Linked DNA regions of Drosophila melanogaster. The protein of the gene in region 1 interacts with the protein of each later gene in a pairwise test. Each region holds a gene or a part of one and is shown on either strand. Other genes may lie near its edges.

Evidence for each region.
Region 2: the proteins of RPA3 (region 1) and RPA2 interact in a two-hybrid assay, tested with the Drosophila melanogaster proteins (3 studies listed by BioGRID).

What each region holds. Positions count from the first base shown.
Region 1 is NC_004354.4:11,614,580-11,617,780, forward strand, and holds RPA3 (replication protein A3), read right to left. Parts: upstream 1,262-3,201; 5' UTR 1,176-1,261; coding exon 939-1,175; intron 868-938; coding exon 766-867; 3' UTR 518-765; downstream 1-517. Other genes in the region: CG1703 (uncharacterized protein), read left to right, coding at 1-376; Met (Methoprene-tolerant), read left to right, coding at 2,289-3,201.
Region 2 is NT_033779.5:20,924,186-20,927,834, reverse strand, and holds RPA2 (replication protein A2), read left to right. Parts: upstream 1-1,687; 5' UTR 1,688-1,788; coding exon 1,789-1,801; intron 1,802-1,859; coding exon 1,860-1,921; intron 1,922-1,984; coding exon 1,985-2,571; intron 2,572-2,660; coding exon 2,661-2,739; 3' UTR 2,740-2,860; downstream 2,861-3,649. Other genes in the region: Nthl1 (Nth-like DNA glycosylase 1), read left to right, coding at 36-146, 211-678, 744-914, 971-1,387.

The DNA.
Region 1 (3,201 bases):
CTTTGGTTTGGTCAGTCATGCACACACCATCAAGATGAAGGATCTGTCCGGTGGTCAGAAAGCCCGTGTGGCCCTCGCTGAGCTATGCTTGAGTGCGCCGGATGTACTAATTCTCGATGAGCCTACGAACAATCTGGACATCGAGAGTATCGACGCCTTGGCGGAGGCAATCAACGAGTACGAGGGTGGCGTGATCATCGTCTCCCACGACGAGCGTTTGATCCGTGAAACAGGTTGCACTCTCTACGTAATTGAGGATCAGACGATCAACGAGATTGTTGGAGAGTTCGATGACTACAGAAAGGAGGTTCTCGATTCGCTCGGCGAGGTGGTCAACAATCCTAGCGTGGTGGCCAATGCGGCTGTGCTGCAATAACCCTCAAGTTGCATACGGACTTGGAGTCCATGCAACTGGTCATCACTCGTCAGCTGGCTCGCCCTATGTTAATTGTTCAACTGTTGAATTGATTATCTGCTAGTTAGTCTTTTTATACCAACATATATACAATAACAAATTGTGGAAGTAAATGTTATTACACAAGAGCGTTTAAGAATGTGTTGTTTATGTTATTAAATTGTGGGTATTAAGTATTTGTTGTAGAATATACGTGGAACTGGTTAAAACACCCGTAAATTGTACTCGTAATATATGTAGATAGATGATTTATATTTAAAGTTAATGCCAGCTCTGAGTGTTCTCCAAAAAAATGGAAAAAATAACATTAGAGTACATAATATTAATTCTTAGATATAATTGTGGACATCCTAGCCGCTGCGATAGAAGGCCTTGACATTGTTAATCAGGTGGCTCAATCCATTATAGCCATCCTTATCGAAGTCGATGTTCTCGCCGCCAAACTCGATGACCTGCAAATGAATAGTGGGCAAATGGTTTGGGATCATTGAAATAAATGACTCCATGGATTGAGTGCACCCACCTCCTTGGCCCTGAGGGTGTCCGCACCATGGGGCACTCCAATGACCTCGACCCAGGCCCCTTCGGCGGCGCCCAGCTCACCCGGCAGATTGATCTTTAGCTTGTGGTTGTCTGTGGAACTGGCCAGCAAAGTGGATCCCGCGACGCTCTCCACGCGAACCATTATGCTCACGGTTTGGCCGGAAAACTGCTTCAGCATGCCGCCGTTGATAATCGAGCGTGGATCAAAGGCATCCATAATAACTCCTCAGTTAATAACGTTCAAAAAACAGCCAATTTCAGCAGAAAATGAAATGCCGTAAACAAGAAAGAGCGCCAATAGTTATCGAGCGTGCTAATCGATAATAAAATTGCATGACGTCTGCTATCGAAATTATTCGAATTTTGTAGCAAAAATATTTATGGATTTATTGTAACATCAAAAGTTATTACATTATTACTGTGGACTTATGTATTATAATAAGAATTAATAAAAATAATTTATAATAGAATTATAAAAAGACCTGATAGATTACATGTATTACAACAATGTTATCGACAGCGAACAAGATGTTCGAATCTTTCTGATATTTTGTCCGGTGTGAACGTGCGAATTTTAGTACGACAACCAGTTACATCGATGTATCGATAGTTTTTAGACTGGCCAATGTTTATTGTTATAAAATAAATGTTACAAATAAACAATTAATCACTTAGTATAAACAAAAATAAGTGCAAGCAGCAAGTGCGTTGTTAAAACGACCGCCGCCCTCCGAATTTCCTTATTGCGGGCATTAAATCGCAACAACAACAACGCCACCAGCAACAGCAACAACAATAAGCAGGAGATTCAGATTCGCAACGCAATCAAAACGTAAAAAAAAAACGAAAAATAAAAAACTACAAGGCGAAACGCATAAATAAATAGGGAAGCAAATAATAGTAATAATAAGACTAAAAGCAAGTGGAAAAGTACGAAAGCGAAAAGAGAAAACATATGTACGTTGCGTGAGAGTGACGTGTGTGTGTGTGTGTCAGTGAGCGAAGGAGAGTGAGCGAGAGAGGGGAGGCGAGCAAAAACAAAAACAACAGCACAGCATAAGCGAGACCTTGAAAACTTTAAAAGCAGCAAAAAAAACAAGACAACAGCCAAAAATAAGAAACTAAAAGCTGCAAAAGTAATAAAAAATATATTTTAGCCGAAAAATTTCCATAATAACAATTCTAGAAGTGCGGAGCGTACACCCTGTTATGGAGAGTGACGATTTTCATTTACCGCAAGGCGCCAATTAAAGGGGAAAATCCATAAATCGAGGATTACAAGTGGAAAACAAGGAGGCAGTAACTCCAGAAAACGCCCAAAAAGTCCAAAATGGCAGCACCAGAGACGGGCAACACGGGCTCCACAGGATCCGCTGGCTCGACAGGATCGGGATCGGGATCGGGATCGGGAAGTGGGAGCTCCTCAGATCCAGCGAATGGACGGGAGGCCCGTAACCTTGCCGAAAAACAGCGACGGGATAAGCTTAATGCCAGCATCCAGGAGCTGGCCACCATGGTACCACATGCAGCCGAATCCTCCCGTCGCCTGGACAAAACCGCCGTCCTTAGATTCGCCACCCATGGCCTGAGACTTCAGTATGTCTTTGGCAAGTCCGCTTCCAGACGTCGCAAGAAAACCGGCCTCAAGGGAACGGGTATGTCTGCCTCACCTGTCGGAGATCTACCCAATCCCAGTCTGCATCTAACGGACACTCTAATGCAACTGCTGGACTGCTGCTTCCTCACCCTAACCTGCAGTGGCCAAATCGTTTTGGTATCCACCAGCGTGGAGCAGCTATTGGGTCACTGTCAGTCCGATTTGTATGGCCAGAATCTACTGCAGATCACGCATCCCGATGATCAGGATCTGTTAAGACAGCAGCTAATACCCAGGGATATAGAGACCCTGTTCTATCAGCATCAGCACCACCAGCAGCAGGGGCACAATCCCCAGCAGCACTCCACTTCCACGTCGGCCTCAACTTCGGGCAGTGATCTGGAGGAGGAGGAAATGGAGACGGAGGAACACCGTCTGGGTCGGCAGCAGGGAGAGGCGGACGATGACGAGGATCACCCGTACAACCGACGAACACCCAGCCCGCGGAGAATGGCCCATTTGGCGACCATTGATGACCGACTACGCATGGATCGGCGCTGCTTTACCGTCCGCTTGGCTAGGGCTTCCACGCGAGCGGAGGCCACGCGTCATTACGAGCGGGTTAAGATCGATGGCTGCTTTCGTC
Region 2 (3,649 bases), on another chromosome or scaffold:
GAAACTGAAACTGAAGCGCAGAAATTGTATTAGCTATGGCCAAAAATGTAAAGAAATTAACGTTGGCCAACAAGTTGGCAAAACGCGGAGATCTTATAAAACCCACGGAAATAAAAAGTCGTCCAAATAGGGCGGATAACGTGAGGGTAGGCGGAAATGCATGATAAACAATGAAATTGATACTCAAGACGCAGTTTCTAAATCTTCCAGGATATAGAGGATCTGGTTGGTGTATCTGCTGGCGCAGCAGGATCGAGTAGCTCAGTGTTCTTCTCCCCCGTGCAAACCCGCAAGCAGCGTCTCTTAAATGGGGAAGCCGTGAAGAAAACTAACATTAAAATGGAGCCCTTGTCTCCAGCTCGAGTGGCACCCAAAAAGTTTAGAAAGGATGATCGCATGGTAACCAGAGTTCAAATGGGTTCGGCTACTGTGGTCATATGCAAGGTGGTCCCTGATGCTGTGGACTCCCCAGTGAGAGTGGATAAGATAAGAGAGGAGGTGGAACCCCAAATAAAACAGGAAGCTCCGGAGGATTCCCCTTCTTTTTCTGAGGTGCAAGCACCACATCCTTTGTGGTTTAACCACCTAGAAAACATTCGCATTATGAGAAACTCCAGAACTGCGCCAGTGGACACCATGGGATGCCACCGATGCGCCGATTTAAAAGCAGACTCGAAGGTATTTCCAATAAGTGGAATTAAGTACATAGAAGAATATGTTACAAGCAAACAACTTCCTTGCAGACCCAGCGCTTCCAAAACTTAGTGGCATTGATGCTGTCCAGTCAAACCAAAGACCAAACTACTTATGAAGCCATGAATCGCCTTAAAGACCGAGGTCTAACTCCACTGAAAGTAAAGGAAATGCCAGTGACTGAACTCGAGAATTTACTGCATCCCGTATCCTTCTACAAGGTTTGGTGGAATTAATAATAAATAAATATATCGCACTTACTCTCGATCTCTTCCAGAACAAAGCTAAATACCTCAAGCAAACCGTGGAGATACTGACGGACAAGTATGGTTCGGACATTCCAGATAATGTCAAGGACCTTGTAGCTCTTCCAGGAGTTGGCCCCAAGATGGCCCATATATGCATGGCAGTGGCCTGGAACAAGATAACCGGAATCGGAGTGGACGTCCACGTCCACCGCCTTTCTAACAGGCTGGGCTGGGTGCCGAAGCCCACCAAGGAGCCCGAGCAAACCCGTGTGGCGTTGGAGAAGTGGCTGCCATTCAGCCTCTGGTCAGAGGTCAATCATTTGTTCGTGGGATTCGGACAAACCATTTGCACCCCAGTGAAGCCAAATTGTGGGGAGTGCCTGAACAAGGACATTTGTCCTTCAGCCCATGCTGAAACTAAAGAAAAAAGGAAGAAAGACCGATAGGAAAGAGGTTCAGCGAACGCTGAAAAAGGTTTTAGGTTTCTAAGTGTTTCTGAAATTATTAGTGCTAAGAAAAATATTGTGTTACCCATAAGAAAATAAATGAATTATTAAGGGGGCTGTAAGTCCTGTAAAAAATAAAAAATTTTGTGGTTTTTCTTTTTTTGTTTTAACTGAAAAAGGTATATTCCCAATTTATTACAATAATTCAGTTTTTCAGGAAAAATATTGAAATATTGACACTACAATATTTCGTATTTCTTATATACTAAATAGATGTTATTCCTACGTGTTCGACCTACGGCCACACTATCAGCTCTACGTTCGCGCGTTTTATTGTTTACCAGCGGCCCTTGTGAAATTATATAGAATACTCAATTACAAATCCCTCAAAAGCCAAGAAAATGAATGATTCATGTAAGTATAGCCCGTAGCTCAGAGAAATTAAGGGAACTAATAACGAAGCTCGTTTTAGTTGGAGATTTCAATGCCACACAAACTGCGCCAACTGGAGCCGCCAGCAATCAAAAGGGAGAAGTAAGTGAGTGAGACGCCAGTAAAGTTGCACAACCTAACATGATTCCGTATGATTGCAACTAGGGAATAGTGCCCCTGGTGGTGAAGCAGATTGTGGACGCCCCAGAGGGAAACATCGAGTTGTTCGGCATGCAGTACGCCATGGCATGTGTTGTGGCCATAGTGCGGAACGTGGAGACTTCCTCGACGAAGATCACCTACACCCTGGAGGATCATAGCGGCAGGATCGATGCGCACTACTGGCTTGAGGAGGGCGACGCTCTCAAGGCACCCGAAGTAATGGTCAACAACTACGTGAAGGTCTACGGCACCACCCGGTCGCAAGGCGGTTCCAAAACCCTAATGATCTTCAAGCTACTGCCCGTTTTGGATCCCAACGAGGTGTGCACCCACCTGCTGGAAGTACTCAATGCCCGCTACAGGGCCGAGGACTACCAGAGCAAGGGTGGAGCTGGAGCTGGTGCAGGGGCTTCTTCCGGCTCAGGCTCCATAGCTGATTTCACCGCCTCCCAGAGCTCGGCCATTGTCAGTGGGCTGGAGCCCAAGCAGCAGGCCGTATTCCAGGCCATCAAGAGCAATGTTTCCGAGGAGGGCATCTCCCGCAAGGAACTGAAAGCCAAATTCTCCCACATCAGCGACTCTGAGTTGACGTAAGTTGTTTATCCAAAACTATTGCATCATTTGATATTCTTTATTAATTAATATTAATTATAACATTTTATTGTTCCTATTTTTACAGCAACATTCTGGACTTTATGATTTCCGAGGGACACATTTATTCCAGCATTGACGCAGATCACTTTATTTGCACAATGTAAATCAAATCGTGTAACCACTATTTAATTTAAAAATGCGTATTGAATATATGTATTAAGTTTTTGAAAAACGGGAACATTTTCCATATATTAGTTGTACATTAAATATTTCTTATATAATCAGAAAGTGATTTTGGGATATTTTTTATTGGGACTGTTGAAAATGTGTATTTGAGGAAATCTTGCTCTTCAAGTTGCCGGTGTATGTGTATATTTACGGCTTATCATATGAAAAGTCTTCGGATTCATAGTCCTAAGGGAATTTAAAATATCTTACAAAAAAGATAGAAAACCTGAAATATTTTAATTATTTTATGTTTAATTAATATTCTTGTTCATTTATAAAATTGTAATGGATTATAAAGTTTTTTTGAATCGTTTCACTTTGCTTCATTTGATAAAAGGATGTGATAAGTTCATACCGCTTTATTTCATTATCAATTTATTTTTTAGATATATAACTAACTAACTTTTAACGCTAGTAAGTTAATTGTTTAATTAGGTAATGCATATTTTGATTGTATATCGGGCATAGTTAGATCGGATTGCAAAAAATTTATAAAATTCATTCAATGCGTTTTATTTCATTAGTTTTTGAATTTATCATAGAAAATTACAAGCTCAGGAATCAAAATCAAAACATAATAGGCATGCAAATCAAAAATTAAGATTAATATTTGTTGTGGGAATTTATAGCGCAAGAGAGCATTCCCCTTGGTCCCCAGGATCTTGCCAGTGAAGTTGAACTGCGCAAGTGTAAGGATTCATTTTGCGGTCGGAGTGGATAGCTAATTGTATAAAAAACCACCTTGGGATACTGATTAACGGGCACGAAGACCTTTTGGGTAATCTTTATCGGCTTCTGCTTGTACACGTCTGCGTATAACTCCTTGCCGGGAATACGTCCAGTGCC